Linked DNA regions of Ovis aries. The protein of the gene in region 3 interacts with the protein of the main gene of each other region in a pairwise test. Links are inferred from orthologs where the notes say so. Each region holds a gene or a part of one and is shown on either strand. Other genes may lie near its edges. The genes, in order: MEOX2, PPP1R12C and AIRIM.

The links.
Region 1: the proteins of AIRIM (region 3) and MEOX2 interact in binary tests that used the Homo sapiens proteins (3 or more experiments, as listed by UniProt). The two-hybrid records come from large-scale screens. The link is inferred for Ovis aries from reciprocal best matches to the Homo sapiens genes AIRIM and MEOX2.
Region 2: the proteins of AIRIM (region 3) and PPP1R12C interact in binary tests that used the Homo sapiens proteins (3 or more experiments, as listed by UniProt). The two-hybrid records come from large-scale screens. The link is inferred for Ovis aries from reciprocal best matches to the Homo sapiens genes AIRIM and PPP1R12C.

What each region holds. Positions count from the first base shown.
Region 1 is NC_056057.1:25,059,358-25,063,101, forward strand, and holds the start of MEOX2 (homeobox protein MOX-2), read right to left. Parts: upstream 2,455-3,744; 5' UTR 2,175-2,454; coding exon 1,661-2,174; intron 1-1,660. UniProt on the Homo sapiens protein: Mesodermal transcription factor that plays a key role in somitogenesis and somitogenesis and limb muscle differentiation. Required during limb development for normal appendicular muscle formation and for the normal regulation of myogenic genes.
Region 2 is NC_056067.1:63,073,700-63,077,343, forward strand, and holds part of PPP1R12C (protein phosphatase 1 regulatory subunit 12C), read left to right. Parts: intron 1-1,048; coding exon 1,049-1,179; intron 1,180-1,262; coding exon 1,263-1,381; intron 1,382-3,644. UniProt on the Homo sapiens protein: Regulates myosin phosphatase activity.
Region 3 is NC_056054.1:12,499,749-12,503,492, forward strand, and holds the start of AIRIM (AFG2-interacting ribosome maturation factor), read right to left. Parts: upstream 2,474-3,744; 5' UTR 2,287-2,473; exon of another isoform or gene 2,266-2,286; intron 2,077-2,265; 5' UTR 2,074-2,076; coding exon 1,799-2,073; intron 1-1,798. Other genes in the region: CDCA8 (borealin), read left to right, coding at 2,924-3,020, 3,161-3,289. UniProt on the Homo sapiens protein: Part of the 55LCC heterohexameric ATPase complex which is chromatin-associated and promotes replisome proteostasis to maintain replication fork progression and genome stability.

The DNA.
Region 1 (3,744 bases), on a different chromosome or scaffold from region 3:
ATCCATGATATAGGTTTCTCACTGCAGAAAGTACAAGGAATAGTAAGAGCCTCTGGTAAATTGCAAAAGCGTCCCTGGCTAACCTGTACTCAGATCTAATCCCAGAAAAGTTACATTGATATCAAATGCTGATCCTATAAAAGGATGACTGCATTCTAAAAATGACTTGTTTTCTAATGAAGATGGAAGCCTTCTTGCTATATTAACTTTTTCACTCTGTCTGAAGAGTGTCTCACTTAGGGTTAGTAAAAACCATTAAAAATGAATGATACTGCTGGCAACCTTTTTGGATATCAACTATTTTGTGATGGAGCATTAGAAGTTCACCCTGACGTTGGAATGTAAACGTGAGATTCTAAGTTTGAGATAGAAGAACCCATTCCGTACTCACTGAAGAATAATTGATACCACTGCTGAAAAAGAACATGAAATATGCGGCTCAATCACTGTCATTCATGTGAAATCTAATCTAAATTATTATAAAGGATAGACATTATCCAGTCTTTCAAATCAGTACCTGGAATTATCTTCCAGGGCTCTTAAAACCAATGCCGCAAAGAAAGAAAATACGTAAATATTATATTAAATAAACAACAGCTTGCAAAAAGATGGGACGCAGGTTGCGTCGTAGCTACTGAAGAAAGCTCATACCCTCCTTATAAAGCATCTTTTAACAATTTCTTTAGGACAGAGACAGGTAAGGGCTTTGACAGTTGACTGCAAAGCTTTAGTTTCTCTGGATTGCTAAAGTTTAGTTGGCTGCGGGTGCCTTCAAGCATTCGCGTTTGGTTAAGATTCCCCTTTCGCTACGCGGTTCAAGATATCCTCGCGTAGATCAGCGCCTCCTACGCACACCCACTTGTAGCAGCGCTACCCTGGTTGCTGTTAAGTTTCCCAATCCTTGTTTCGGATAGTACTCAACTGGAGGAGGATTTTACTTTCCACTTTTGAAACTCAGATTTTCTTTTTGGTTAGCATTACATGAATACAACTACAATAAAGAATCGTCTTTCGTCAAGGGTCTGAGCGTATATTTAGTTGCCATTCTCTGACACATTCCTTAAAATCCTCTGAATTCCTAGACAATATCTTCTTCCCCCAAGAAAGAGAAATTTTACCATTTGGAATAGGGTGCTATTTAAAGAACTCTGAAATCAGAATTAAAAAAAAAAAAACTAAACTAAAACTTTTTCTCATGTGCTCTGCCAAGTTCCACTGCAAGTTCCAAATGTTGTGCAATAATTTGGAAATCCAGTTAACGATGGGAAAAATCGAGCCATTCAGAGTCGGGAAAAGTCAAGGAAAGGCACCCGCACGCACGCCCAGCGGACGCTGCATCCCAGGGTGCATTCCTCTCCCCATCGCTCAGATGGAAGGTCACGCTTCGCAATCGATTTCACATACTTGTCACTTGTCCTTTTTTTCTCAACCCTCTGGTAAACTAGTTTGAATCTTGGAGAGCTTAACGCACTTGGCTGCAGTGCTGCCCTCGGAGAAACACGTGCCCCCAAATAAAAGGACCAAAGCAGCCTCGCCGAATTTGGCGGCGAGGAGCCAGAGAGGAAAAGACCTGTCCCATAACGCCCGCCGCCTCACTCTAGTAGGAGAATCTTCCCATCTCCCCGCCCCCTTTCGCCGAGGGTGCCCGGCGCGCCCTTACCTGAGCTATCGCTTTTCCTCTTGCTGCCACTTCTCTTCTCCGCCTCCGCGGGTGACAGCGCCTGGCGGCCGTAGTCCCCTGGCGGGCACGCGGCCCCGGTCGGGGTGCTGGAGCCCAAGCTGGAAGAGTTGGAACACAGGACCGGCGGGCTGCTCCCCAGCTCCGGGGGCCCTCCCGAGTCCGGCTGGAGGCAGAGGCTGTGCCGAGCCGCGCTCGGCGGGGAGGACATCTGCGGGAGGTGCCAGTTGGTTTGCAGAGCTTGGTGCTGCTGCTGCTGGTGGTGGTGGTGGTGATGGTGGTGGTGGTGGTGGTGCCCCCTGTGATGCTGGCTGGCAAACATGCCCTCCTCGTTGGGGTATCCCGCGATTATGCAAGACGAGGAAGAAGTGGAGAGCTCGGGGTAGGACATGTGGTCAGATCTTCCATGGAGGGCGAGAGAGGATTGGGAGAACGGGTGCAAGCCTTGCGCGGTGGCGTGAGGGCTGCGCAGGCAGCCAAAGAGCGGGTGTTCCATAGCATGCAAGTCTCGGGTTCCAGGCAGAAGACTTCACGACGGTTCCAAACGCCACCACCCTCTGTCACTTTTCACTGGAAACCGTGTGACTTTTCCCCCTCCCAAAGCAATAGCCGCCCGCGTTTCGTCAGAGCTCGGATAATCCTGGTCCTGAGCCCTAGCGGCCAGTCTCCTTTACATATAAACACTCGGACCTCGAGAAGCTTCCCTCTGAGCTACTCAGATGTCAAGAGCAGGAGAGGTTGAAGCCAAAAGAAGGTGGTCCCAGAGAACTGCTTTCAGGGGGAAACGGCTCTGAGAGGTTATAAATAGAGTGTAATGTGAGCTGGGGGCTGGCTTAGGAGCCCAGTGCTGACCACATGCAAACTCCCTCCAAAACTCCCGCTCAGTTCGCGCAATGCGCTCCCAGTTCCACTTCCTATCGCCGGCTGGACGCATGCAGCGCGTCCACGCCCTCCCGCCGCTGCCAACAGCCTGGACTGCAAGCGGCAAGCCGGGCGCCTAAACCAGAGCCCCGGCGGGCAGCGGCTGCCCTTCCCGCTCCGCCGGCCGGGGCGCGCCGTGGCGCCCGCCAGCTCCAACCCCACAGCCAGTGTCCCACCTGCTCACTTCTCTCCTGAAAGGTGTCTTGTCAATGCCACTTGGGCACTGTCACCTGCAGAAAAACAGGGTGTGCCTAAATGTGGAGAAGCACGAAAGGTGGAGGATAAGGAAAAGAATCAGAGCTAGTTTGGCGCGCACTCAGATTAAGGTTTTCCAAATTCGCATCAACTCGTGTCATGGGCTCAGTGGCGTTTCTAGCTTTTTTATACAGCTGGTGTCTGTGGGTGGGTTGTTAGAGCGCTGAGACGCCAGATTCGAGGATGCAGGAAAAGTTCCCCACGGGCGAGAAAGGGCCGCAAGGAACGAGACTTGATAGGGTGGAAGAAAGCATGGGGCCGTGACGGTCGCAGACGCTCTGCTTCTGGCATCCTCACCTGCGGTCCCAGGTGGGGTCTCTTCCCCTGCTTTCCTCAAATGTCCTCCCCCACACCGCTCTCGATTTCCGGGTCCCACTTCCATTTCCTTGCCACTTGTCCGCCCAGAAAAACTTTTCCTGGATCAGGAGTATTCTAAAGCGATTTCACCCTAGTCACAAGCGATGTGTATATTGAATGTACATTTCCAGTACTCTCCCTCAGGAGCCAGCCCCCTGTCACCTCGTTTCCCTCCAGAAATCCATCTCTCTTCCGCTCAAAAAAATCAATCAGCTCATTGCACCCCTTTCACTCCCACGCCGCCATGGTTCCATTTACCAAACAAATATTACACTTTGGTATCGCTTAAAGTTCGGATCTCCCTGGTTACAATTTTGCATCCTAGAAAATGACTTAGAAAACTTGCCACCAGTGAATTAATGCGAGCGACGGCTGGGCTTTCATACTACCACATGCTTAAAGGGCGACACTGTCTGCTAGGGGCCAAGTCGTTTACACAAGGCACGCACGCTGGCCGAGCATAATGAGCTGCGGGAACAGTTGAGCCTTGCCTAGGACTTGTCGCATCAGGAGAATATCGGCGCTCACCTATC
Region 2 (3,644 bases), on a different chromosome or scaffold from region 3:
GGCCAGGTCCTTGAAAGGGAAAGGCCTGTCTCCCTCCTTGCCCCCCCCCCCCATCACCATGGCAACTGGTGGAAATAAACGGTGCCCAGAGTTCATCCCGTTCCCAGGGCATGTGTGGCCCCCCTTTCGCAGCCTGAGTTTCCATGACTTCATGCTCTTGGCCCTCGTAGCTTCCTCCCCTTGCTCCAGGCGGCCGGCCGTGGAGAGGTGAGGGAGTCGGAGACTGATCTCCCCTGAGGACCCAGGAGGCCAGGTCCACTCCCGTTCCTCAGCCCTGCTCAGGCCCAGTGCCCGCCGCGTGTTTGCACGCGCCCTGGGCAAAACCCTTTCTCTGGCCCAGCCTGCTGCGCTAGCGCGGGCAGGGGCTTTGGTCTCCTGGGGCTGGGATCTCTTCCTCCATCAGAGGGGATCCTCACAGCCCTCAGTGGGGAAGGTGCCCGTGGACGCCCATGATGGGGGGCCCTGTGCCTCTCCTCGGGCCCAGGCCTGGGCACACCCTCTCTCAGCCGCCTCTCCCAGTGTCGGGGTCCTGCCCAGGGCCCTCACCACCGCCCCGCCCCACTCCCAGGTTCGCAGGGGCCTGGGGACCCCGCATGGCCTTGGGCCCCAGGGTCCGGCTGTCTCCCTACCAGGGACACGGCAGGGTGGTGGTCAGCTCTCCTGGAGAGTCTGCTGGGTCTGAGGAGGAGGGCCTGGGTCTCTTCCCTTGGGTTCAGCTCTGGGGGCCCATCCTCCATGGTGACTGGGGTGCGTCTCGTGAACAAGCATGGTTCAGGATCCCTACAGCTCCTCTCCTCTCTGGCCAGCTCCTCCTCTCACGGTCCCCAGTGAGCCCCAGAGGCCTGCCTGGCGTGGCCACCGGGAAGCCAGGCTGCGCAGGGCTGGGGGTGCCCTGCGGACATGGTGCCTTCCAGGGACCTTGGGGTCTTCCTCTGGAGCTTTGCTCGGTCGGCCCTGGGTCCCCCTCGAGGCCCTGGCGGGGTCCTGCCTTGCAAGGCACGCGGAGGGGTCCGGGGTGGTGAGGGTGACCCCCGACCATGCCCCCCAGGCCTGCATCGACGAGAACCTTGAGGTGGTGCGCTTCCTGGTGGAGCAGGGTGCCACAGTGAACCAGGCGGACAACGAGGGCTGGACGCCCCTCCACGTGGCCGCCTCCTGCGGTTACCTGGACATTGCCAGGTGAGGTGGGGAGGGTGGGCGGCCCGCTGGGCATGCGGCCCGGATGCCTCCGTCCTGACCGCGGCCCGCCCCTACCTCCCCAGGTACCTCCTGAGCCATGGAGCTAACATCGCTGCGGTCAACAGCGACGGGGACCTGCCTCTGGACCTGGCTGAGTCCGACGCCATGGAGGCGCTGCTGAAGGCGGAGATCGCCCGCCGAGGTGGGCCTGGGGCGGGGTGCGGGGCTCGTTGCCAAGGGCCCGGACCCCAGGGTCTCAGTGTGGCCTGGACCGTTTAACCCGAGAAGTCATTGAGGCAGGGCTTGGCTCGTTCTCGGGGTGACTGAGGAAACTGAGTTTGGCGCTTGTCCCGGGTGATGGTGGGTCTTCTCAGGAGTTGTGCTGCGGGGTGGGGGGCAGTGGAGGAATGCCGAGTCTTCTGGGGGTCTGGTCTGCAGTACTCGGGATCACTGCGCCCCAGGGTCCTTAACGGGGCCCAGGACCCCCTAAGCTCTGTGCCTGGCCACGCTCAGTTTTCTAGGGGGAGCCTGTGTGACTGCTGGCAGGTCCCCACCTTCCCGCGCTCCCTCTCAGTCGCTGATGAACAGACCATGGGGAGGGCTCGCCGGCTGCCCTGCGGTGGAGGGCCGGGGGCCGCGGGTGGGAGACAGGGAGCAGCCTCGCCCCGTCACCAGGGTGGGCCGCGGGTGGGAGACAGGGAGCAGCCTCGCCCCGTCACCAGCGTGGCTTCTGGGTGGCCGTCTGCTCCCCCGAGCGGGTCTGGTGACCGCACTGCATCTGTGAGGAGGTGTGAGCGCGGGGCCGAGGGGTCTGGAGGGCCGCGGGCGAGGTGCAGGGAGGCTGCTGAAGAACGGCTGGCTGTCCGAGGCGATCCCCAGCTTGGCTGGGGTTGGGAGGGACGAGGCTCCGCCCTGGGCAGGTGGTGTGCCGGTGGCCGCAGGAGTCCCTCGAGGCTCCGCTGGTGGGCCAGCCGAGGTCCAGAGCCCTGGCTTGCTTCAGATGTAGGGAGCGAAGTGAAGTGGAGACAGAACCGGGCTTTTCCTGCCTCCGCGTCTCCACGTTTTCACCTGGACGACTTCGCACGCTGAGCCAGGTTTCACTGGCCGTCCGAGGAGGGCCGCCCCCGCTGAGGCTCACCGGGGCTTTCGGCAGCTCCGTGTAGGTGCAGTCGTCTGCGTGCGTGCTTCCTTCACTCTTCAGACACGCGTGGGCTCGTGTTTTACAGCCTTATGTGTCCGTGAGCACGTTGAGTTTGGATGATTCTGATCAGCCCCAAAGAAACCTCCCCACCCTCCCCTTCCCCCTCAGCCCTGGGGGCCACCCATGGGCTTCGTGTGGGGGGTTTGCCTGTCCTGGGCATTTTCCGTGAGTGGAATCCTGAAGTGTGGACTCCGAGTTTCCAGCTTCTTGGCGTGATTGCTTGTGCGCCTCCCTCTCTGCGGGGATGGGCCTGCCCAGGTTCCCTCCCCCGGCCCCGCCGCCGGCACAGGACCAGCCTTCACCCCTCCCCTGTTCACACGGCCCCTCAGCCTGGACCTGACTGCTCGTCAGTTCTGCAGGTTTGGCAGGAACTTGCCAGCAAGTTCTGCGGGGAGACGAATTCCGTCCGCCCTCTCACTGGTGATGTTAACCTTGAGCCTCATTCAGAGGACGCCCAGGTGACTCTGCCGTCAAGGCATCTTCTTCCCTTTGTTGCTAAAAAGCAGCCTGCAGGGCGATGCTTGGAGGCCACTGGGGCTGGGTGATCTCTCAGGCCTCTCAATTCCTGCTGGAATTGCCCAGAGCTCTCATCACCTTCTCACGAGAGCCGAAGGTCGCCGGGGGTTGGCTTGCAGGACCGACCAGGCCCAAAGGCCTGTGATGCTACTGGGAAGACCGTCCGCTGCACTGCTGCGGGTGGGGCACAGCTGCCTCTGAAACCCGGAGGCTTCAGTGACGTGGCTCCACGGTGCCTGTCCTGACGTGAGGCCTCAGTGGACTGTGCTGGGCAGAATCTGTGCTTTACCACAGTTTTAAGAGGAGGACAATCCGTGGGCCTCTGTAACTGAAGTCTAGGAGTTATGTGGACTTCAGGCATGGCCTGATCCAGGGGCGCAGACACGGTCGGAAGCCTTCCTCCCATCTCTCTGCTGAGCTCTGTGTTGGCTTCCCTCCTAGGCCGGCTCTCTCGGTGAGGCACTTAGCCTGGCTCCCAGCAGTGCAGGCTGACCCCCTGGCGGAACTAGAGCTAGACTTCTCAGCAGCTCCAGCCCCAGCCCTCTGCCCTAGGGCCGCCCTGGTCACAGCCTGCCCTGAGCCAGTCGTGTGGCAAGGAGGACGGTCAGGCCTGGCGACGCAGCTGCCCATGGAGCTGGGCTGTGGGCCCCTCACGTTGGAGCCACGTCGGGTGAGAGCAGGGGTGAGGACAAGCAGGGAGGGGCCTGGACGCTGGCAGCTCCAAGCGACAGCTCCTCCCCAGACACTG
Region 3 (3,744 bases):
GACCAAGCAGGCTTTCTGGGACTCCCATAAAGGAGAGGAAATGTTCACACATAGTCTAAGGCCACATATGTGAAAGGAATTAGCAAGAGGAAACTACAGCAATAGAGCAGTCTTGCGCTCATGCTATATCGTGCCCCACCCTCGTGAATTCCTGAATGGGTAAAATTTGAGCTCTTGACGCACACAGATTATTGTCGATCTCAGGAAAGTTACTTATTCTCAATCACGAACAAAAACAAGTCTCTTTTGTTCACTGTGCATCCTAAGTACCTAAAACACTGAGACTGGCCGACAAAGCAACAAACATTTGTCCAGTGAATGAAAAGGACTGTTGTGAAGAGTAAATACAATAATGCATATTAAGCCATTAGGGAAGTACCTAGCTTATGGCAAATTTTATTATTTTTACATGATTATTTTAAAAATTATTATATAATTATTTTAAAAGTTATTATTCCATTAGTGACTCCAAGAGGTCTAGCCATAAGACGAAGGCTACAACTTCCCAAAGGGCAAGGAACTCCCTAGCCTAGAACTGCAGCTTTCAAGTTTGACTGTGACTCACAATAAAAACTAGGCTAAAAATAACAGCCCAATACCCACATAAAAACATGTAATCAACTGAAATAAAAGTTCGCTACCTTAGAATGTATAATGACCTAACTTAACTGACTCTTTTACTCAACTTAGGAACTAAGTCGGCCTTACTATTGTATTCCTGCTGCTGCTGCTGCTGCTGCTGCTGCTAAGTCGCTTCAGTCGTATCCAACTCTGTGCGACCCCATAGACGGCAGCCCACCAGGCTCCCCTGTCCCTGGGATTCTCCAGGCAAGAACACTGGAGTGGGTTGCCATTTCCTTCTCCAATGCATGAAAGTGAAAAGTGAAAGTGAAGTCACTCAGTCATGTCCGACTCTTTGAGACCCCATGGATCGCAGCCTACCAGGCTCTTCCATCCATGGGATTTTCCAGGCAACAGTACTGGAGTCGGGTGCCATTGCCTTCTCCATTGTATTCCTAGCACCTGTGTTTTGCATCCCATGGGTTCTTAATGTTTTTAGTACAGATAAATACAAAGAAGGCCCCCATCTTTGAGTTTCCTATCAGTCTATGGCAAACCCTACACACTAGAACCTTCTTTCATCCTGGTTAAGGGAAGGCCATATGTGCCTTCTCTCTTCTCTATCCCCAATTACCTGTAATTCTAAGATCGAAGGCCTAACATTGGTGCTTCTCCTCGCTCAGACACCAATGTACAGCAGAACAAAGCGGTGGTTAGGAGCTTCTGGCCCCAGTGCCAGAGGCACTCGGATGAGCATCCCAGCTTTACTATTTACTAACTGCCTGAGCACAGGCAATTTGCGTGAGCCTCAGTTTCCTCACTTGAAAAATGGGATTAAGTGAGGTTAAGTCACAGTTGTTGAAAAGATTTTATGAGATAATGTATGTAAAATCCTTGCTGCTGGCACCTACTAAGTTTACAGTGTAACTCCTGCTGCTTTCTACCTAAGGAAAACTACAGTGGAGGGTCAATGAGCTTTCTCCATTGCTTTTCTGTTCTGCTTTGGTAACTTTTACTAAGTCCACCACTGTCATGCCTAGCTGATAAGGGAAATGCCAGAAAATGGTTTTTTGACAGAGAGAGGTCCCACTGCAACAGATGGAAAGGGGGTAAGGCTGTCACATCCCCAAATACCATTCTCTTAAGGAGAAAAACCCCCTTTCTCACTGATCCTAGATTATTAAATACCCAGTTTTAACATCTCTAGGCCAAGAAAGAGCGCCACTGTGCCTCTTACAGCCTCTCTCCTAGCTTGTCCAGGATAGTGTCACCAGCCGCCAGCTGCTTGCGCCTCAGCCGCTCCTTTAGGTCTGGGAAGGCCCGAAGTGAGGGCACATCCTCAAATCGCAGGTTCTGTGTGGCTTGCAGCTGCTCTGCCAGGTTGCTGAGGGAGGCCAGGAGGGGCGGGCAGTCTCTCAGAGCACTCTGCCACAGGCCCTGCTGCTCGTCCACCACAGGAAAGCACTTCCTCAGGGCCTCCTGCACGGCAAGCAAAGGCTGATCTTCAGTCATCTTCTATTGTAGGGGTGAAAACAAAAACAAAACCCAGGAAAAAACAAATATCATTAGGGTCCCAAGTCGACAGGCAAAGGGCCGAGTCAAGGGTGGGAGTTATTTCCGTTCTCAGAGAGGTCCAGCTAAACAAAGTTTGCTCATGTAGGGCCGTCCATCCCTCCCGACAGGTGTTTCTAGCGCGAGTCTTACCTTCAGAGAGGCTCAACCTACCCCTTGGCTTAGGGCAGTTTCAGACTGAAGGTTCACTGGGCCGATCCGTGCTTCCGGAGCCAGAATCTTATCTCCTCTACTTGAGGTTTCCGGCCGCTCTTCTAAACCAGCGGGAAAACAAAACTAAAGCAATAACACTTTAAGGAAATTCCAAGACTCCGCACACCTCCGCTGTGTCTCTGCGCATGCCCAGACGTGGTTACAGAGTCGCGAAAAAGATGCGGTCGGACCGCAATGCCTTCTGGGTGCTGTAGTTTACGTGTGGACTGGCTGCCCAATTGCGAAGCTTCTCTGTGATTGGCTGTTGTGAAACCCTCCTAAGACGGCGGCTTTTTATTGGCCAGCCTTTGGCAGTTTGAATTTGGTGGCGGCGGTCTCACGTCGCTTTCGTCCCGGAGCGGCTCCTTCTCGGCTGAAGCAGCCGGGTTTTTCCTCAGCCCGGGTTTCAGAACCTGCAGGTGGGTGCCTCGCGAATCCTTTATTCCTCGGGCCCGGAAGGGCAGGGGTCCCCAATTCAAACCCCCAGGGGGGCCCTCCACCCTCCCTCGCCCCCTTGCGGCCCCCTCTCCTTCACCATCTCCGCCGCTGACGCCTTGTGCCTCCGCCCCTAGCTCCCCGCAGCCTCCATCGAAGGGCCATGGCTCCGTCTAGGAAGGGCGGCAGTCGGGTGGCTAAGACCAATGTGCTGCGGAACCGAAAGCTCGCCTCCTTTCTTAAGGACTTCGACCGTGAAGGTGAGGGGCGGAGCCCGGGTGGTCGCGGTCACTTGGGGGCAATCGCGGGGTGCTGGAGGACTGGGACGCGGGCAGCAGGGATTCCGGGAACCTTTTCCCCGCGGGGTGACCCGTGCCGTGTCCTCTCTGCCCTCTCGCAGTGCAAATGCGATCCAAGCAAATTCAGTCAGACAGGCAGAACCTCCTCAAAGAGTTGGATAACCTGTACAACATTGAGATCCTGCGACTCCCCAAGGCGCTGCGCGAAATGAACTGGCTCGAATACTTCGGTAAGAGCTCCTGGTCTTTCCCCAGGCCTCGGCCTGGAGCCCTTCTGTGGTTACCATGGCAGCTTTTATCTTCTCAATGAGGTCTTAGAAGGAAATTGCAGGCCTACTCCTCCCCGATCCGTCTCACCTCCCTGCTTTTCTTCTTAGCACTTTCCCTCATCTTCCTCTGCAGGCAGGCAAATATTTTCTCTAAAGGAGGAGATAATAAGTATTTTAGGCTTTGTAGGCCAGAAGGTTCTCTGTCCAAACTACTCATGCTGTTATAGTTCAAAAACAGCTGTAATGAATGGGCATAGCTGTTTTCCAACAGAAATCTATTTATGGAAACACTGAAATGTGAATTTGACAGATTTCAGATTCCATGTGTCATGAAATACTCTTTTTTTGAGGGGGGTGGTGTTTTATCTAACCATTTAAAAGTGAATGAATGAATAGATTGTTACCAGAGCACAGAT